Linked DNA regions of Saccharomyces cerevisiae S288C. The main gene of each other region encodes a partner of the protein of the gene in region 3 in a complex. Each region holds a gene or a part of one and is shown on either strand. Other genes may lie near its edges. A codon is read from its position in the direction of its gene.

Region 1 (5,696 bases), on a different chromosome or scaffold from region 3:
TTCTTCTATAAATGAAATGAAGTTAATTTCTCACAAATATGTATGTGATTCTATAGTTATCTTTGTGTGATGTTCTTACCTAACGAAAACAAAGACAGAACAACCTACGAACCAACCAAGCCTGAGAATTCGATATATAGAATCACTCCCTTATATATTACAAAAAAAGAAATCTACAAACTAAAATAAAAACATGGCAAACAATATGCGTCGGAGTCATCTTTAATTCATTATCAAGCCTACTACTTACACCTGACCGCTTACACTAACAAATGAATTAATTTTTCACTCTTTTTTCATATTACTTTTCTTTTTTTCATCCTACTTTTTCTTTTTTTGTTTGTGTTTCGCTACACAGGACATCAATGCGGCATATCAGCCTACTCTCCTGCCAAAAATAGTGTACTATTTTCGCATATTTGGGGAATAATAATGACCACAAATGGCACTATGATGCGAAAAAAATTTTCGATAAAACACCGTCTGGCATCGTCTGTGCGGACCAACTGCTGTAGAAGACTTTTTTTTTTCTGCCTTCGCGAGCTTATCTTATCTATTAGGGGAGCGCAGTCATCAATTGTAAACAAACGTGCGAAGCGATCCGTAGTCCTATCCGGGTAACACTCATCGTCCGGCCTCCGCCCCCTTTTCCCCGGGAGAACCGTATGCGGGTACTGGGTTTAGGGGATCCTTGTTTTGGTTCTCGCGAGTGTTTTTCCGATTGCGAGATTTTATTTTCCCTTTCGCATCATCCGGACGAGCCAAAAGCGCCATTGTTCCGGCCGCACGTGCAGCGCATGTGTACTTGCGCACTTTTGTTTACTATTGTCCTGACAAACTGATTACCAAATGTCTTTGAACAGGTGGGACAAAGAGAGACAAAAAAGCGGCTATCATGTAGCTGGGACGATATTCCGCCGCCGGGTAGCGCATATTGAAAAATGGCTGTTTACAGTGGGCCTCACTAGCTTAGAGTTCATCTCTATATAACTATTTATACAGTTTTTTTATATTAGAATGGGTTCATCGAGTTATCGCGTTTGTTTATATGTCCCTCACTCAAAGTAGGGGGTGGACTGAATCTTGAAGGAAACCCGCTTACTCCTTACTGATAGCTACTACCGGCGCTGAGAAAAATGGGTCGAGATCTCATCTCCTTCTAGCCGCCTACAATCCCTTTTGGATATTTGCGCCTTACCACTAGTTTGTTGCGTTCGTAGCCTGCGACTGCTTTCTGTCTCTTTTCAGCGTTTCGTAATCTTCCTTAGAGTACCATTTTCCCAAGCTCCATGATGGCAGATTGGCCATTGTAAGGGCGCCCAGCCATCCCTGGATTTTACGGTCCATCATGACTTGGTTGGCAAAAGTTGTCAATTTGTATTGCGGGAACCTGATTGACAGCTCCTTTATTATGCGTTGCTCCATACCTTCGATCAGAGAGGTAGATCCTGTGATGATGACGTTCGTCAACAGTAGCGAGTATACTTGTTCTGGTGATATGTTGCTGCTGCTGGCAGTACTGTTATTATCGCCAACATTGGTGTTTATATGGCTTGTACCCAATCCGTTTGGGTTGGTGGAGGTATTGGCCTTCATTGAATTTATACTAGCGCCGGCCTTCTTGACTGATTTTGCCATTAGCGGTCCCAGTCCGTCCTCTGGTGAGAATTTGTCTGATATCAGTTGAGGTTTGAAGAGATACTCTGCGAATTGGTAGCACTCCTTAAGGTCCAAGGTTAAAGTCTTGTTTAATGGCTTGAATAGAAAATTTTTCTTTTGAACCAACGGATTGTTGGGGCTTCCCGTTAACGCCGTGTACTGAAGTTGCTGATCCATTTGTTTTAACTGCTCCTGTTGCTTAGCGTATATATCTGCTTGCTCTTTGTAATACCTTTCCAACTCAAACAAGTCCTTTTCGCTTACTTGCAACATAGTAGACTTGAATTGCTGAATCCACGTGCTTGCTTCGTACCAAACGTCGGTGGACCTTTTTTGCTCGTCGGCCATGTTTTCCATGTCGTTCTCTTCTTTAATCAGTGGAGCCAACCTTTCGTGTACTTGAAAATCCAAGAAATCACCGCCAAATTTAGATCTCACTACAGCATTCTTCACCACAATACCGTCAATGATGGGAGTAACGTTACAGCCTGACGCGCCGATATCAATCACGAATGCAGAACTCTTGCCCATGGATAGGGCAATTGCCAATGGCTCGATTACAATCTGGAATACTGGTACATTTAATTTGTCGAACGCCAGCTCATAGTAGCGCTCTAATATGGCCATGTCCGGTTTACCATTGGTGGCAGGCATCGTAATCACCAGTGGCAGTTCCTCGGGTGAAACTTTCAATTGGGTGTCGTACAGATATCTCCACTGCATCTCCAATGCGTCCCAATTGTACGGTAACCCTTGGCTATCTACCAATGTATACACCTCGTCACCATTGCGTTTTTCTGCCGCAGCGTCTATCATATTGTAGGTTCCGAATATAAACTCAGCTTCCCCCCCCTCATCTGTTCTTTTAATATAGCTAGAGGGTATAATGCATTGTGGCAATTCAACGTTACTAAATCCAGCCACCGTTCTGTGCGATCCGTTATGTATCACTACGCACTTCCTATTCAATGTCATTCTTGACAGATCCTTTATAATGTAGTAATTCTCGCGCTTTTGCTAATAGCCTACTACTCTGTTCTATCTCTCTTGTTTACCATTTTCCGCTTTGTTTTCTTGTTTGAGGTTTGCTTTATTTTTTCTTTATTTTCTTCGAAACGCGGCCATCATTTTTTTTTTTCAGGATCACTCAAGGTGAACAAGTCTAAGTATTGAAAGGTGTGAAGACTTGCCGATGATATACTTATATGAACGCCGTGATGCGTACGTCTTTGATGGAAATATTGTATATATCTCTTTCTTTCCTTATAATCACTGTTCTCTCTTGTGTAATAAGTAAATCTATTCGTTTCCGTGTAAGGCGATAATTTTTTTGTTTGAAATTTTTTATCAAGTTTTTTTTTTTCTTCAATTCTAACCAGCTCGAAGATGACTTATGGCCTTGATCGACCGGGCTTTTAAATGAGTCTTACGGCCCAATGTGTTACTTTAGAATAGTTCCTTTCTGCTCGTCTCTTGCTTAATGCTTAGTAGATCACTAAATAAAGTAGTCACATCTATAAAGTCGTCTTCGATAATCAGGATGTCATCCGCTACCGCTGCTGCTACTTCTGCTCCTACTGCTAATGCTGCTAATGCTCTAAAAGCTTCAAAGGCTCCAAAGAAAGGTAAACTACAAGTGTCTTTGAAAACACCTAAGGGTACGAAGGATTGGGCTGATAGTGATATGGTTATCAGAGAAGCCATTTTTAGCACTTTATCTGGCCTATTCAAGAAGCATGGTGGTGTCACTATCGACACACCTGTTTTCGAGTTAAGAGAAATTTTAGCAGGCAAGTATGGTGAGGACTCCAAACTGATCTACAACTTGGAGGACCAGGGTGGTGAATTATGTTCTTTACGTTACGATTTGACCGTTCCTTTTGCCAGGTACGTTGCCATGAACAATATTCAGAGTATCAAGAGGTATCACATTGCAAAAGTCTACAGAAGAGACCAACCAGCCATGACTAAGGGTCGTATGAGAGAATTTTACCAGTGTGATTTTGACGTTGCAGGCACATTCGAATCTATGGTTCCTGATTCCGAATGTTTGTCCATTTTAGTGGAAGGTTTGACCAGTTTGGGAATCAAAGATTTCAAAATCAAATTGAATCACAGGAAGATTCTTGATGGGATCTTCCAAATCGCTGGTGTTAAAGATGAGGATGTGAGGAAAATCTCTTCTGCTGTCGATAAGTTGGACAAATCTCCATGGGAAGCAGTCAAGAAGGAAATGACCGAAGAAAAAGGTCAATCCGAAGAAACTGCTGATAAAATCGGTGAGTATGTTAAATTAAATGGTTCTTTGAAGGAAATTCACGCTGTTCTATCCGCAGATGCCAACATTACTTCAAACGAAAAGGCTAAACAAGGTTTGGATGATATTGCTACTTTGATGAAGTATACCGAAGCATTTGACATTGACTCATTCATCTCTTTTGATCTTTCTCTTGCAAGAGGTTTGGATTACTATACAGGTTTGATCTATGAAGTTGTTACTTCTGCATCTGCTCCACCAGAGAATGCTTCAGAATTGAAGAAGAAGGCCAAATCTGCAGAAGACGCGTCAGAATTCGTTGGTGTCGGCTCTATTGCAGCCGGTGGTCGATATGATAATTTGGTCAACATGTTCTCTGAAGCTTCCGGCAAAAAATCTACTCAAATTCCATGTGTTGGTATTTCATTTGGTGTTGAAAGAATATTTTCTTTGATCAAACAAAGAATTAATTCCTCTACAACTATAAAGCCAACGGCTACACAGGTGTTCGTTATGGCTTTTGGTGGTGGTAAGGACTGGACTGGTTATTTACCCGAAAGAATGAAGGTTACTAAGCAATTATGGGATGCTGGCATTGAAGCTGAATATGTCTATAAGGCCAAGGCTAATCCTAGGAAGCAATTCGATGCTGCTGAAAAAGCGGGTTGTCACATTGCCGTAATCCTCGGTAAGGAGGAGTACTTAGAAGGTAAATTACGTGTCAAAAGATTGGGCCAAGAATTTGCCGATGATGATGGTGAATTGGTTAGTGCGGCTGACATTGTTCCTATTGTTCAAGAAAAGTTATCACAAATTCATGAAGATGGTCTAAATGAGGTCACTCGTTTAATTAAAGGATTATAAACTTGATAGCTCATGTATTTACAAACCTTCGTAAAACTAGACATGTATAATGAAAAATAAATCGATTCAAATTAATTTATAAAGCATATAGAACTAAAAAAAAATAAGTATAGAAGGAAGTTGCTCATTACCCTGTATGAATTAGTGTATGTATTTAAAAACCAAGGGCACCTTTCATTACATCTTTTCCAGTCTGCTCAACAGCCTCGTTCATTGTTTCTCCCATGGCGGTAGCATAGTCGTTGAATCTATCTTCAACGGCGTCCCATCTAGTTTCTACAGCTCGAGAAACATTTCTTAGTACCCCGTAACTACTGTTCCTGCCCTTACGGGTGGGCTTGGTATACTGGTGTTCCGGATGGTTCGCATTATTATCGTCTGAAGAACGCTCCGAGAAACTTCCCTCAGCAATGATGCTCTCTTTGTATTTGGATGCAGGTCTATTCACGCCACCCAATAATTCATTTAATTGAGCGGGAGTACAATATACAGTGCCTCTTGCCCACTGTAATGAATTTACTTGTGGCCTATAGGGAATCCTGATTCCATTGATGTACAGTGTGTCAGAAACTGGCGCTAGCGTATCCTGTTCCTTGACAGTAGAAAATAGTGACGCCTGAAATTCACTCACTCGAATCGCTATATCACCATTTCTTAAAACAGATGATTCTGTAATGTATTTTGCGGCAATTGGAAATGGAATATGTTCAGACATTTGTTCTTTGAAATCTGGAATAGTAAAAACTCTTAGATGGCCATTGATTTCTAATGTAATTATTACGGTTAGGTTCTTCCTATCATTATTTTTCTCAACGGTTGAGATGTAAGATAAACCTGTCGCGGCAAGCGGGTATTTGAAACCTTTATGTGTACTTTTAGATTTGCCCAGTGTTATTAATCTGATATCATCGAATCC
Region 2 (5,360 bases), on a different chromosome or scaffold from region 3:
ATGGACAATATAAGGAAACTATCTTCTCAGCTGAAGGAAACCGAAAATAAAAGGAAACTAGCTTCAATAGACAAATATGAGAAACCATTGCCATCTCCAGAAGTCACCATGGCTACACAATTTAGAAATTCCACACCCGTCATACGTAATGAGACAAAAGTGGTTGCTAACCCAACATTATCTTTGAGGTCTTCACCCGTCCAGTTACAGAGCAATGTGGATGACTCCGTGTTAAGGCAGAAACCTGATAAACCAAGGCCGATTGTTGGGGAAGAACAACTTAAACCTGATGAAGATTCGAAAAATCCTGATGAAAAAGGTCTAATGGTGCATAAAAGAAATCAATCTCTCAGCTCACCATCAGAATCAAGTTCTTCTAATCCAACGGATTTTAGCCACATCAAAAAGAGACAAAGTATGGAATCTATGACTACATCCGTAAGTTCAATGGCCAATAGTATAGACGACTCACAGAGATTTGCCAAATCATGGAACTCGTCAAATAGGAAAAGAAAATCTATGAGCCATTTGCAAGTACCCTCATCCGCTTCTTCGAGGTCGGATGATGGGGGAAGAACGCCTAACTCTGCGCACAACCTCAATGAAGATGATTATAACACGAGGAGAGATACCAGTACAAGCACAATTTTGTTCAAACCTCCTGTGGCAGTAAGAGGAACGTCTAGGGGGCACACGCATAGACAATCCATGATAATGCAAGATTCAAGTAATCCAATTGAAGATGCCTTGTACGAAATGGAAAGAATCCAAAGTAGTTCTAAACCAGGTACAAAAACAGGAAACATCATGGATGAGAGAGGTGTGGTCAGGGATAGAGGTATTACTGTTACCTTGCCTATTGTCACCAGTGAAGGTTTTCCAGTCATTGAATATGCCAAGGCCATGTATCCATTGATTGGAAATGAGGCACCTGGATTAGCGAATTTCCATAAGGGCGACTATCTGCTAATTACTGAGATTGTTAATAAAGATTGGTATAAAGGTGAAGTTTATGATAATGACCGTATAGATAGAAATCATAGGATAGGATTAATTCCCTATAATTTCATTCAGCTACTGCATCAAGGTCTTTGATCTCGATGTATATCAATTTTACTAGTTTTCTGATAAAAGAAAAAAAGTATAATGTCAGATTTTTGTTAAGTAGAAATAGAAAGATATACGCTGCCGTGGGAGAAGGACACCTCTCCGGATTTGTAACTAAAAATCATAAAATATCACGTCTTTCCTTCATATTTTCAAAAAAAAAAAAAGTTTTCTTTACCATTTTTGACACAATAATCACGATAATTGTTAGGTCAGGCATTCCCTTTCCACTTTTATGTTCATTTGGACGCAATAAGATATACATATTATTTAATGTGCTCTAATGACAGTTCTACTGTGTTTATATCATTAGAGTCACTTGTTACGAATACTACATATTTCCGCGCAGTGGCTAAAAGCAAATTTCAACATTATAAATCTCTAATAGTAAACTGACAATATTGCGGAATTAGAAAAAATGTACCACGCGAAGTTAAGTGTCTTGAACAACTACTATATGCATTGAATATGGCTCCATTTAGGCAGGACAGTATTTTGGTACGTATTTAGTTCATCAATGGATTTTTTAAGTCTTCACGAACAGTTTTTGGTTAATCTTTTATACTAACAACAATTCATAACAGATAATATACCCCAGATCTCAAACTACTCTCGTTCAATTTGGTTTGAATGAAGAAACATTCACTGTACCTGAGCTGGAAATACCAACACAGATTTATCGGACCACGAGACAAGATGGTTCCTACACATATCATTCAACGAACAAGGATAATAAAGCCGAATTAATCAAACCAATCCAAAATGGTGAAATAATAGACATAAGCGCCTTTACACAATTTCTTAGACTAATATTTGTATCTATTTTGTCTGATAGAGCTAATAAAAATCAAGATGCTTTTGAAGCTGAATTATCTAATATTCCTCTTCTACTGATTACGCACCACTCTTGGTCGCAATCGGATCTAGAGATTATTACTCAATATGTCTTCGAAAGTCTTGAGATAAACAATCTAATCCAATTGCCGGCTTCCTTAGCGGCCACTTATTCTATGATTTCGTTGCAGAATTGTTGTATTATTGATGTTGGAACACATCATACAGATATTATTCCTATTGTTGACTATGCACAATTAGACCATCTTGTCTCTTCAATACCAATGGGCGGACAGTCTATTAATGATTCTCTAAAAAAACTACTACCTCAATGGGACGATGATCAGATAGAATCATTGAAAAAATCACCAATTTTTGAGGTGCTCAGTGACGACGCCAAAAAACTATCAAGTTTCGATTTTGGAAACGAAAATGAGGACGAGGATGAAGGAACTTTAAACGTTGCCGAGATTATTACAAGTGGTCGTGATACACGTGAAGTTTTAGAGGAAAGAGAACGTGGTCAAAAAGTCAAAAATGTTAAAAATAGCGACTTGGAATTCAATACTTTTTGGGATGAAAAAGGTAACGAAATTAAAGTTGGTAAGCAAAGATTCCAAGGATGTAATAACCTGATTAAGAATATTTCTAATCGTGTAGGATTGACGTTAGATAACATAGATGATATTAACAAAGCTAAAGCCGTTTGGGAAAATATTATCATCGTCGGTGGCACTACTTCAATTTCAGGTTTTAAAGAAGCTTTACTGGGTCAACTACTGAAAGACCATTTAATTATAGAGCCAGAGGAAGAGAAGTCAAAAAGAGAAGAGGAAGCGAAATCCGTATTACCAGCTGCAACAAAAAAGAAAAGCAAGTTTATGACAAATAGCACCGCATTTGTTCCAACTATAGAATACGTACAGTGTCCTACAGTAATCAAACTGGCTAAATATCCAGATTACTTTCCTGAGTGGAAGAAAAGTGGATATTCAGAGATTATATTCTTGGGTGCCCAAATTGTTTCTAAGCAAATTTTCACTCATCCTAAAGATACATTTTATATCACAAGAGAAAAGTATAATATGAAAGGACCGGCTGCTCTTTGGGACGTGCAATTTTAAGAATACGTGATAGATGCTTCGTGTATCCAAAATCCGTGTGAATATGTGCTGTTTAGTTTTTTCCATCCAATGAGGATGGGAAATATATACATAAACGTTATGTAATATATAGAATTCATGCAAAATTAACAAGGGAAATATCACCTTGGTTGTGTATATGGGACGTTGTTCGACAGAACGGATTGATTTTCACCAGTTCCAATTGATATGATCTTTTCCAAATCAACTTCCTCATTCTCATTTGCACAAGATGACTCGCTTCCGTCTGCTTGAGCGTCCTTTTGTATCCATCTTTTGAACAAGCTTACAAAGAAATTTGCCGTCATGACTTGCTCAACTTGATATAAAACCAAGGGAACCAACAACTTACCCAGGTGTTCTTTTTTATCGCCGTATTGTGAAGTAATTAGTGATACACCCAGTGCTGCAGTTTTAGCCGGGCCACAAAACATAATGCAAATCGCATCTTCCTTTGAATAATAAAAAGGCCTAAAGATATTATACGAATAGCGGTACAATCTTGTAGATTTGCCCTCTATTGGTTCATGAGGGAAAAGCTTGAGGATGAACCATGGCCTTGCACATAAGTATGACAGACCCGTGAAGAATATATAAATTCCCAAATTAAAAAAGCAGAGAAATATGATGCAAACATGAGAAACGCTAGTAAACGCATCCTGATAAAAGGCAGTTGAGAATGAACTAAACATAATCAATAAAAGCATGTAAGATCCAATTTTAATATGGTATTTTTTCAAAAAGCCCAGGTAATAAGCAGTACCCTTCGGAAAGCAATTTTGAATAACCTGACCCACAAACAAGGGTACGAATACAGAGAGACCAACCTGTTTCATAACACGGCCATAAAGCGCACCAATGCCATTTCCAGTGGCAGGGTTGCCGTATGCAAATGGTGCGCGGTTAGTAAACATTTGAACCAATGCAGGTGTAATAAACGCACCCAACAAATTTCCAATGAATACTTCACAAACGCACAAAAGGCTATTTCCACCTGCATTCGTAGTCATGATAACGTTTGAAGCCACGGTTGTTGGACAAGTGGCAGTCAAAATTAGACCGATAAGTACCCAGTCATCTATTTTCGGATCATTAGCAGCCTTTACCGCGCAACAAAATCCATATACTATGGACGAGGTAATAAGGAAACTCAGAACCAGAATAGTGGCATGAGCTCTCCAATTTAACATATTTGCCATTAGTGACCTTGATTTCATTCCCAGGCCACTTTGGAGAAAAATCCAGGCGACGCAGCCGTACCCAATACTATATTGGCCTTTAATTAACCCTCCGTCTCTTGCAAAATTCGGAGCAAATCTTGCAATAACGATTAAAATAGCCAAACAGATGAAAAACCACTGGGATTTCAGAAATTCTGTTACTGAATGTGCCCAAATTTTTCGTATTAGAGAGTACTGAGTCTTCATTTGGCACTAAGTAGGTGTATTAAATGTGTGTCTTCCTTCTTTTTGCAAGTTATGTCAGAGTTGGGATATATCGTAGAAAAGGGTGCGAAGGTGATTCAGGTAGCATAGACGGTTTCAGGCAATAAAAAGCTATAAATCTCTCTTTATATAATTGAAGGTTAAAATTTGCTAGATTTTAAAGTGGTTCGGTTCTTTTTTATGCTTTCTTAGCTTCTGGCTGTTCGTTGGAGCTCAGACTTACGGGTAGACCAATGTCATCGAAATACTGTGGAAGATCAAGCTCGGAAGGAGAGCGAGGCTAAGTTCCGAGCTACTGAAAAAAATGGAAAAAACAAGTGCCTTAATTGAATGACTAGATGGGTGCTTGTTAACGAAGGCGTGCTGCTATTCATGAAGCTGTTGCATTGTACTGTACAGTAATGTTTCGAGCCGGATCATCAAAAAGATTCTTACGAAACACACTAATAGCAATTTCATGGGTTCCGGTACTTCTAACAATCAATAATAATGTGGTCCATATTGCGCAAGTTAAAGGTACCTCTATGCAGCCTACGCTGAACCCGCAAACGGAAACGCTGGCAACAGATTGGGTGCTGCTTTGGAAGTTTGGAGTCAAGAACCCAAGTAATTTATCTAGAGATGACATTATCCTTTTCAAAGCTCCTACAAACCCTCGGAAAGTTTACTGCAAAAGGGTTAAAGGTTTACCGTTTGATACCATTGACACGAAGTTTCCATACCCTAAACCTCAAGTGAACCTGCCCAGGGGACACATATGGGTCGAAGGGGACAATTATTTTCATTCGATTGATAGCAATACTTTTGGCCCCATTTCCAGTGGGTTGGTCAT
Region 3 (2,610 bases):
TTAAAAATCATACTGAGGACGATTCTAAGGGCCAGTTAATCCGTTGCGTCGAAGATGATGAGACATGGACCCATATTCACGAGAATCTAAATAAAGATGTCAAACTTATTGTGGGGAGAATCAAGAACTTAGAGAGGTCACGCAACTATAATAAAAAGCCACGGAAGGAAACTCCTTCGTTCGATGCGTCCATGGTTCTTCATGATATAGGGCAACATCTAACACAATTATACGAGAATGCTACACCAGGTACTATGATTTTGATCATGTCGGGTACAGGCGACACAAGACCATGGAACAATCTTTCAACTGAGTTAGAGTTTATTCAAGACAAAAAGGAAAGATTAGATAAAAGACGCGAAAGGGAACCTGAAATAGTAGAAGCCATAAAGTTAGCCCGGGGTGGTGTAGCATCCTTTACTGTAAAATAATTCTATGTGTATAAATATATAAATATATATATATATATATATATATATATATGCATAATACTTTTCCTTTTAATTCATTTTCACATCTTTACTCTCCTTTGTATTATCATTGTTCACTCCCGCAGATAACCCAGGAATGGCTTCACTATTACCGACAGCGCCTCTTATATCATCCACACTAAGAGCTTCATCTCCTTGATTAGCAGAAGGAGCACCGGTGGCCTTACTTGTATCACCCTTAGTGTGCGATGTCATCAACGACTTTTTCAGTATTCTTCTATCAAATTCTTTCAAATCTAATATATCCTCACAGCTCTCCCTCTGTAGATTTTTCTCATCTTCCTGGTTCCTCAACCATGTTTTATACCTGAATGGATATTTCTCCAAGTTATTCTCCATGTCCCCTAGCTGTTGTTGTGGTTGCTGCACATTGGAGCTCACCTTAGATGGTTGGTACCAATCATACCTCCATGATTCCTTACTCGTAGGGTTGCCATAGTAAGAAACCTTATTGGCCTTAGTAATGAGCGTCTGTGGGTCCATTTTCTCTATCTCTTGCTGACGTAGCTCTTTCTTTCCAACATTAGGTTTTATCGCCTTGTTCATTAATAAACTAGTCGATAATTTCATTTCGCGGCGATGGTTTTCAAATGTGCTTTTAAGAGAATAAATAGCATTTTAAACACAGAGAGAAAAAGAAGTACAACAGGAGTATAAGGCGATATGGTAAAGCAGCAGGGATCCGGCAAGACCAACTTGGCCAACGAAGATGAAGCATATGAAGCTATTTTTGGCGGAGAGTTTGGCTCTTTAGAAATCGGGTCATACATTGGCGGGGATGAAGGTGCCAATTCAAAGGACTATACGGAGCATTTGCCGGATGCTGTAGATTTTGAAGATGAAGATGAACTTGCTGATGACGATGACGATTTGCCAGAAGAATCTGATGCTAATTTGCATCCAGCTATGATGACTATGGGCGCGTATGATGATGTAAACGAGAACGGTGCCGTACTCGGTATCGACTCAAATAGTTTGAATATGCAACTGCCTGAAATTAATGGTGATTTGTCTCAACAGTTTATTTTGGAGGATGATGGGGGTACTCCCGCAACTAGCAATGCTTTGTTTATGGGAATGGATGCAAATGAAATTCATCTCGCCACTGAAACTGGAGTTCTTGATGGTAGTGGCGCAAATGAAATTGGGCATTCTCAACTTTCCATTGGTGGCGTTAATGGAAATGATATGTCGATAAATGGTGGATTTATCATGGAACCAGATATGTCAGATGGCAAGCATAAGAAAGCCACCAAATTAGACTTGATAAACCATGAGAAGTATCTTCTAAAAAAATACTTTCCTGATTTTGAAAAGGGTAAAATTTTAAAATGGAACAAGCTGATTTATAGAAGATCTGTTCCTTATCATTGGCACAGTGAAATATCTAGGGTAAAGAAACCGTTTATGCCTTTAAATTTGAAATTCAAGGTTCAACAGGATGATAAGAGGCTATTCAACTCAAGGACAATATCTTACGTCGCTCCGATTTATCAAGGGAAAAACAATTTACTTCAAAGTAACTCTTCTGCATCCCGAAGAGGTTTAATTCATGTTTCCATTGATGAACTTTTCCCTATCAAAGAGCAACAAAAAAAAAGAAAGATTATTCATGATGAAAAGACCATATCGGAAGACTTGCTTATTGCCACTGATGATTGGGACCAAGAAAAAATCATCAACCAAGGTACTTCATCAACAGCAACCTTGGCGGATTCGTCTATGACACCCAACTTAAAGTTCTCCGGCGGTTATAAATTGAAGAGCTTGATTGAGGATGTTGCTGAAGATTGGCAGTGGGATGAAGACATGATCATTGATGCAAAATTGAAAGAGTCTAAACATGCTGAATTAAATATGAATGACGAAAAACTGTTGCTGATGATTGAGAAAACAAATAATTTAGCGCAGCAAAAGCAACAACTGGATAGTAGTAACTTGATATTGCCCCTCAACGAAACTATTTTGCAACAAAAATTCAATTTATCTAATGATGATAAATATCAAATCTTGAAAAAAACCCATCAAACAAAAGTTCGTTCTACCATCTCGAACTTAAATATTCAGCATTCTCAACCTGCGATTAATTTACAATCTCCATTTTACAAAGTGGCTGTTC
Region 4 (6,745 bases), on a different chromosome or scaffold from region 3:
GGTAGTCTTTTTTGCTGGAACGGTTCAGCGGAAAAGACGCATCGCTCTTTTTGCTTCTAGAAGAAATGCCAGCAAAAGAATCTCTTGACAGTGACTGACAGCAAAAATGTCTTTTTCTAACTAGTAACAAGGCTAAGATATCAGCCTGAAATAAAGGGTGGTGAAGTAATAATTAAATCATCCGTATAAACCTATACACATATATGAGGAAAAATAATACAAAAGTGTTTTAAATACAGATACATACATGAACATATGCACGTATAGCGCCCAAATGTCGGTAATGGGATCGGCTTACTAATTATAAAATGCATCATAGAAATCGTTGAAGTTTGCCGTAGTAATACCCAGATTATCAGATTCCAAATCCTTGTCAATAATTATACTCCTTTGGACAACTTCTCTTTCCATTAAAAAATCTGAAATCTCCTTAAATTTTAAATAGATTCTGTTCAGTTCACTAACGGGGAATTTCAAGAGAACATTTTTGTTCTTCGCCGACTGACTATAATCTGTAACATTATTGTTATCAGAGTTTCTCGCAAAATTTTGTTTTTTCTTGCTAAATCTCAGCATATATTTAATCAGATTCAAAACCTTGTTGAAACCTTTAATAGATTTGAAACTTCCGTTGCTATTCATTTCATCTCGTAAAAAGGATACGATAATTTCTATTTTTTTTAAAATTTCCAAAATCTTGTCATGAATCAATAGCAATTGAACATTAATCTCCTCATTTGAAAGATTTTTGTAAAATTCGTCATATAATATTACTTCACAACGTTGGAAAATAGCAAATGTGATTGCTATAAAATTCTGTAAGATTTCAATAAAATGATTTGCGAATAAAAATTCTTTACCATTAGAATGAAAGCGATTATTGCCGCTTGAAAATGACTTTATCGACTTTATGGGGAAGATAAAATTAAATGTTATTGAGTAAAAAATGTGCATATTAGAAATAATTTTCATCAGATCCTTTGCACATCTTTCAGAGTTCGAGGTCTTATTGTTGTTAGAAGAATGTTGAACTGCCATGGACAAAGAGGATTCGTTTTGAACAAAAAGGAAAAAATTTGTATAAACAATGGTATTGATAAAATTTAAAGTGTCTTTCCATTCTTTTCTGACTTCGTTGTCATGAAAATATAAGTCTACTGTATTACTCACGCCCATAGTCAAGGTTTCTAACAGACTTTCAATTTTGGTTAAATTTACTGGCAAGTAGAAAGGAACACCTTGCAGAATATTTATCAATTTTGCTTGCGTTTCCAGTAATTTTAAATCGTTAGCAATTAAAGGAATGTCGTTCGTATCAATAGAGGCAGGTATCGGAGATAGGTTTTCAGCAGCGGGTACCATGAATAGCTTTTTTTTTTTTTTTTATTCGAAATCTGGGGATTCTATACAGAGTTGTAAGTTAGGCAAACTAGAATTTGGTAATAATATTTTATTCTTGGGGCGACATATGGAGATACTTTATTTCCTTTTCTTAATTATTAACGTATACCTATAAATTAACAAAGTATCTAAACAAAATACATAAGTGTACTCAAACTGAGTAGAATCGTCGATTAAACTTCCTTCTCCTTTTAAAAATTAAAAACAGCAAATAGTTAGATGAATATATTAAAGACTATTCGTTTCATTTCCCAGAGCAGCATGACTTCTTGGTTTCTTCAGACTTGTTACCGCAGGGGCATTTGTCGTCGCTGTTACACCCCGTTGGGCAGCTACATGATTTTTGGCATTGTTCATTATTTTTGCAGCTACCACATTGGCATTGGCACTCATGACCTTCATTTTGGAAGTTAATTAATTCGCTGAACATTTTATGTGATGATTGATTGATTGATTGTACAGTTTGTTTTTCTTAATATCTATTTCGATGACTTCTATATGATATTGCACTAACAAGAAGATATTATAATGCAATTGATACAAGACAAGGAGTTATTTGCTTCTCTTTTATATGATTCTGACAATCCATATTGCGTTGGTAGTCTTTTTTGCTGGAACGGTTCAGCGGAAAAGACGCATCGCTCTTTTTGCTTCTAGAAGAAATGCCAGCAAAAGAATCTCTTGACAGTGACTGACAGCAAAAATGTCTTTTTCTAACTAGTAACAAGGCTAAGATATCAGCCTGAAATAAAGGGTGGTGAAGTAATAATTAAATCATCCGTATAAACCTATACACATATATGAGGAAAAATAATACAAAAGTGTTTTAAATACAGATACATACATGAACATATGCACGTATAGCGCCCAAATGTCGGTAATGGGATCGGCTTACTAATTATAAAATGCATCATAGAAATCGTTGAAGTTTGCCGTAGTAATACCCAGATTATCAGATTCCAAATCCTTGTCAATAATTATACTCCTTTGGACAACTTCTCTTTCCATTAAAAAATCTGAAATCTCCTTAAATTTTAAATAGATTCTGTTCAGTTCACTAACGGGGAATTTCAAGAGAACATTTTTGTTCTTCGCCGACTGACTATAATCTGTAACATTATTGTTATCAGAGTTTCTCGCAAAATTTTGTTTTTTCTTGCTAAATCTCAGCATATATTTAATCAGATTCAAAACCTTGTTGAAACCTTTAATAGATTTGAAACTTCCGTTGCTATTCATTTCATCTCGTAAAAAGGATACGATAATTTCTATTTTTTTTAAAATTTCCAAAATCTTGTCATGAATCAATAGCAATTGAACATTAATCTCCTCATTTGAAAGATTTTTGTAAAATTCGTCATATAATATTACTTCACAACGTTGGAAAATAGCAAATGTGATTGCTATAAAATTCTGTAAGATTTCAATAAAATGATTTGCGAATAAAAATTCTTTACCATTAGAATGAAAGCGATTATTGCCGCTTGAAAATGACTTTATCGACTTTATGGGGAAGATAAAATTAAATGTTATTGAGTAAAAAATGTGCATATTAGAAATAATTTTCATCAGATCCTTTGCACATCTTTCAGAGTTCGAGGTCTTATTGTTGTTAGAAGAATGTTGAACTGCCATGGACAAAGAGGATTCGTTTTGAACAAAAAGGAAAAAATTTGTATAAACAATGGTATTGATAAAATTTAAAGTGTCTTTCCATTCTTTTCTGACTTCGTTGTCATGAAAATATAAGTCTACTGTATTACTCACGCCCATAGTCAAGGTTTCTAACAGACTTTCAATTTTGGTTAAATTTACTGGCAAGTAGAAAGGAACACCTTGCAGAATATTTATCAATTTTGCTTGCGTTTCCAGTAATTTTAAATCGTTAGCAATTAAAGGAATGTCGTTCGTATCAATAGAGGCAGGTATCGGAGATAGGTTTTCAGCAGCGGGTACCATGAATGAAGACTGACCTAGAAGCGAATGTCTTGAGTAATACATTTTTTTCAAAAAATGGAATAACTTGAAATCTTTTATCTGGAAGCTTAACAGACAGCTCAAATCTTCGTCTAAACTTGATTTATGATCATCATGCATGTACAGAGATTCATAAAATTTTGTGATGGCAATAAATTTGATTGTCTCTTGGTCATAATATTCCAGGTTTATCAATGTGATTTGGCTTCGAATCAACCTCAAATTATTCATTAATGCCGAAACATGGTTATTAATAGCCTGCTTATTGAATAGGGTCATTGAATCGTTTAACAACAGTAGAAGCACAGTTAATTCGCCTAGTTTGGTCAGTTGAGATAAAGGAAGATCGACCGTTGAGAATGAAGGACAGGTATCACCATTTGGAAAAGAGTTATGAACAAATTCTAGTAAGAGGGTTTTGTCAAAGATTGGCAAAAATTCTTCAATATTCAGATTGTTAAGGGATTCAGAGTTTAGTGTCTCAATAATTATTGCTTTTGGTGGGAAGTTAACTTTGCAAACTTCCATATATTGTTGGTGATTTTTATTGTTAGGAGGACTTACTTTGAACTGATTAATATGGCAGATATCGTGCAAAATATTATAGAACTTGAAAAGATAATGATCTCTAAAAATGATGAAGTTTTTAGTGAAAAGGTAGTTGGGGGTATCCTTCAACGGTTTCACTTGGACTAAACTTTGCACATCTGTTATTGTGAGCGCTGTAAAGTATTTTTGTGAGGACTGAGAAGTCCTTGAAGTCTGATGATCAAATCCGGCTCTTTTACCGTCAACCTTGCCTTTCTTAGAATTCTCACCTGTTTTGTTAATTTTGTTTGCCGTGGTATTGTCGGCATTTAAATTCGATTTTTCTTTCAAACTTTTCAGTTGCAAGCTTTGTAAATCAAGCAATTTGTTTTTTAAAAAGTCTATCTCCTTGATTAATACTTCCTCTTGAGTAAACGGAGAAGTCATTAGATCGAAAACGGCCGAGTCTTGATTGATACCAACATTAAAAGAGTATGGGTTATCTGTATAGTCAAAACTTTGAGCGTTAACCAGTTGTAATCGTGTGTTATATTCTCTAATCTGATCCATGGAGGGCACATCTGGACTATCGCTTCTCACAATAGTGTTTCCATGAACATTACTACTAACGGTACTACTATTCTGACGAGGAGCAGTATTATTATTGGTGTTATTATTCTGGTAGCTAGCGGCCTTGGTCCACTGCATCGCAGTATCCACAGAGGGGTTGAACGAGAAGTTGAATGCCTCTATCGACGTTTGCATAATCGGATACTGCGTTTGAATCATTACGTTTTTCTGATTTACACCGTTTCCCTGACTAAAATGGTTGGAACCTTGGCCATTGCCGTGCGTGGACATCCCGGACGCAGAGGGCACAGCGACCATCTTACCAGGTCCATCTGGATAAAAACAGTCCGGCTTGTTATACTTGACGCAATTCCCACATATCGGTTTTGCCCTGTCGCACCCGATCTTTCTCTTCCTGCATTGGGTGCAAGCAGGCGGCTTCCTCACTTTTCTCACTTGCATGTCCATCATGATTAAAAACAAACGGCAAAGCTACGCACTAGTCACAGCAGACAACGACAATGCTCCTCTCATAAATTGCTAAGATACATTAAAAACAACAACTCTCTTCTTGTTCTTCCTCTCTTTGCATCATTCCTGCAAAATATCACACTACACGAGCTAGGATGTATAACCATCCTTAGTAGGACGCCAAGGTTATATTCAAAATGATATGATTTCCCCAATTAATACTTGCTGTTGCATTTTGAATCGGATGTAACTGGGACTAATGCTGCGCTAACCAGACGTACGTTCCGGTGGTCACAGTGCGGAACTGTTCCCACGTTCTCTAGTTAATTTACCTTTAACTATACATACTGAAATTGATATCTATGTATATAGTATGAAATATTGCATATACTCAAGAAGAGAGCTCAGGCGTCCACTCACCGCATTTTGCGATCTTGACCGCCTCGAGAGGTTTGTCATTCGCATCTCTGGACACGTGCTGTATGTAGTTCACCACATCCATGCCGTCCACAACCTGTCCAAATACCACATGCTTTCCATCGAGCCACGACGCTTCTTCCGTAGTGGTGATGAAGAACTGAGATCCATTGGTATCTTTACCACGATTAGCCATCGATAGTCTGCCCTTGCGATCATGCTTCAAAGTAAAGTTTTCGTCAGGGAAAGTATCTCCATAGATGGATTTGCCACCAACGCCAGTGCCGTCTGTGAAGTCCCCTCCCTGTACCATGAAGTTGGGAATCACCCTATGGAAAGTGGACCCGATGAACCCCTTTTTGGAATTAGTGGTGGTGCTTAACTTGTAGAAGTTCTTCGCCGTCTTAGGACATACCTTTCCGTACAACCCAATAACGATTCTGCCAACTTTCTCTTCACCATGTTCAATATCGAAAAACACCTTTTGTGTAATTACTTCGTCGTCCTGATCAATCAACTCACCCACATCAGATGCAATAACATTAACGCTAAGGAATAATAACAACCAACACCACAAGCCACTGAATTTCATTTTGTTTTCCCTTCGTGTCTTTTTCCTCTCATTTCTTTCCTTTTGGGGGAACTTCTTATGATGGGTACATCGATTTTTGAAGAAAACTGAAAAGTTGATTTCGCGGGGTTTTATAATATAGTACAAAGATATATGCAATTGCCATGGCAGTTCTCATATGTAGTTTGGGGTGGATCGAATGCTTGTGACCATTAATTTGTCCAACATCTCTGTAGTTATACCCATGTTACCGTTGCCAGTACGACCGGTACCGTTGTCTATAGTTTGTCCTCCTGTACCCATAGTGTTGACTGTCATGTTGACATTTGTGGTTGAGGGAACAGTCGCCATATTGGCACCGCCGGTAGGTCGTACACTGCTCTTGTTACTGCCCCCTCCAGCGTTGTTCCCGTTGGTGGCAGCCGTTGCAGTCGTGCTAGTGTCCGTAGGTACTTTATAGTGTACTCCTTGGGAAGGTTGAAACTCAATCAAGTCATACAAGCTCTCCAATGTGCTATTTAGATGGTAGCTCGTGGACATCAGCCTACTTTGCACAATTTTAAAAATTGTTGGCGATTGGTAAATGTTTGCACCAATTATGTAGTAGTCTTGCAATGGAATAATCTCTGGTCCCTTAGCGCTTCCCACACCAGAATTGTTTGTTCGTCTTTGCTTCCTGATAACCCAGAAGTCAGGCTCTCTTACGCTGCTCAATACGTATTCAGTACCATCTAACTTCATTAATTCCTCCTCCAGTTGCATATACATAGGATACTTGAAAAGGATTTGTCTTCTTGCCGGATCCACATA

The links.
Region 1: the proteins of RTT102 (region 3) and ARP7 are in contact, whole or in part, in a crystal structure (PDB 4I6M), measured with the Saccharomyces cerevisiae proteins. Residues at the interface, in NP_011791.4 of Saccharomyces cerevisiae: Tyr27 (codon at 896), Trp29 (codon at 890), Pro32 (codon at 881), Tyr56 (codon at 809), Pro57 (codon at 806), Phe58 (codon at 803), Arg59 (codon at 800), Tyr60 (codon at 797), Lys61 (codon at 794), Thr62 (codon at 791), Trp63 (codon at 788), Leu64 (codon at 785); in NP_015359.1 of Saccharomyces cerevisiae: Asn4 (codon at 2,625), Arg5 (codon at 2,622), Glu100 (codon at 2,337), Glu101 (codon at 2,334), Leu102 (codon at 2,331), Pro103 (codon at 2,328), Pro134 (codon at 2,235), Val135 (codon at 2,232), Trp449 (codon at 1,290), Ser450 (codon at 1,287), Trp454 (codon at 1,275), Ser456 (codon at 1,269), Glu458 (codon at 1,263).
Region 2: the proteins of RTT102 (region 3) and ARP9 are in contact, whole or in part, in a crystal structure (PDB 5TGC), measured with the Saccharomyces cerevisiae proteins. Residues at the interface, in NP_011791.4 of Saccharomyces cerevisiae: Met1 (codon at 974), Pro3 (codon at 968), Gln4 (codon at 965), Leu6 (codon at 959), Ile7 (codon at 956), Thr8 (codon at 953), Lys9 (codon at 950), Ala10 (codon at 947), Asn11 (codon at 944), Lys12 (codon at 941), Val13 (codon at 938), Tyr15 (codon at 932), Gly17 (codon at 926), Pro19 (codon at 920), Ser21 (codon at 914), Lys22 (codon at 911), Glu23 (codon at 908), Ser24 (codon at 905), Trp25 (codon at 902), Arg26 (codon at 899), Trp63 (codon at 788), Arg65 (codon at 782), Ser77 (codon at 746), Cys78 (codon at 743), Glu79 (codon at 740), Asp80 (codon at 737), Ile81 (codon at 734), Leu82 (codon at 731), Leu84 (codon at 725), Phe87 (codon at 716); in NP_013747.1 of Saccharomyces cerevisiae: Ala2 (codon at 1,579), Pro3 (codon at 1,582), Leu20 (codon at 1,719), Val32 (codon at 1,755), Pro33 (codon at 1,758), Glu34 (codon at 1,761), Leu35 (codon at 1,764), Glu36 (codon at 1,767), Ile37 (codon at 1,770), Pro38 (codon at 1,773), Tyr51 (codon at 1,812), Thr52 (codon at 1,815), Tyr53 (codon at 1,818), His54 (codon at 1,821), Ser55 (codon at 1,824), Gln81 (codon at 1,902), Arg84 (codon at 1,911), Leu85 (codon at 1,914), Phe87 (codon at 1,920), Val88 (codon at 1,923), Ser89 (codon at 1,926), Ile90 (codon at 1,929), Leu91 (codon at 1,932), Ser92 (codon at 1,935), Asp93 (codon at 1,938), Ala95 (codon at 1,944), Phe102 (codon at 1,965), Leu106 (codon at 1,977), Ser107 (codon at 1,980), Asn108 (codon at 1,983).
Region 4: RTT102 (region 3) and RSC30 share a complex: the UniProt entries of both Saccharomyces cerevisiae proteins name them as parts of the two forms of the RSC complex.

What each region holds. Positions count from the first base shown.
Region 1 is NC_001148.4:636,463-642,158, reverse strand, and holds ARP7 (Arp7p), read right to left. Parts: upstream 2,635-5,696; coding exon 1,201-2,634; downstream 1-1,200. Other genes in the region: HTS1 (histidine--tRNA ligase), read left to right, coding at 3,140-4,780; Rab GTPase-binding protein SRO7, read right to left, coding at 4,935-5,696. UniProt on the Saccharomyces cerevisiae protein: Component of the chromatin structure remodeling complex (RSC), which is involved in transcription regulation and nucleosome positioning. RSC is responsible for the transfer of a histone octamer from a nucleosome core particle to naked DNA.
Region 2 is NC_001145.3:336,213-341,572, forward strand, and holds ARP9 (Arp9p), read left to right. Parts: upstream 1-1,575; coding exon 1,576-1,605; intron 1,606-1,691; coding exon 1,692-3,065; downstream 3,066-5,360. Other genes in the region: formin-binding protein HOF1, read left to right, coding at 1-1,095; YMR030W-A (uncharacterized protein), read left to right, coding at 1,101-1,391; RCH1 (Rch1p), read right to left, coding at 3,206-4,510; IMP2 (endopeptidase catalytic subunit), read left to right, coding at 4,930-5,360.
Region 3 is NC_001139.9:1,041,640-1,044,249, reverse strand, and holds RTT102 (Rtt102p), read right to left. Parts: upstream 975-2,610; coding exon 501-974; downstream 1-500. Other genes in the region: RNH70 (Rnh70p), read left to right, coding at 1-431; TAF1 (histone acetyltransferase), read left to right, coding at 1,155-2,610. UniProt on the Saccharomyces cerevisiae protein: Probable component of the chromatin structure-remodeling complex (RSC) which is involved in transcription regulation and nucleosome positioning. RSC is responsible for the transfer of a histone octamer from a nucleosome core particle to naked DNA.
Region 4 is NC_001140.6:212,888-219,632, forward strand, and holds RSC30 (Rsc30p), read right to left. Parts: upstream 4,948-6,745; coding exon 2,296-4,947; downstream 1-2,295. Other genes in the region: YHR054C (uncharacterized protein), read right to left, coding at 298-1,362; YHR054C-B (uncharacterized protein), read right to left, coding at 1,630-1,803; metallothionein CUP1-2, read right to left, coding at 1,646-1,831; peptidylprolyl isomerase CPR2, read right to left, coding at 5,339-5,956; mediator complex subunit MED6, read right to left, coding at 6,110-6,745. UniProt on the Saccharomyces cerevisiae protein: Component of the chromatin structure-remodeling complex (RSC), which is involved in transcription regulation and nucleosome positioning. RSC is responsible for the transfer of a histone octamer from a nucleosome core particle to naked DNA.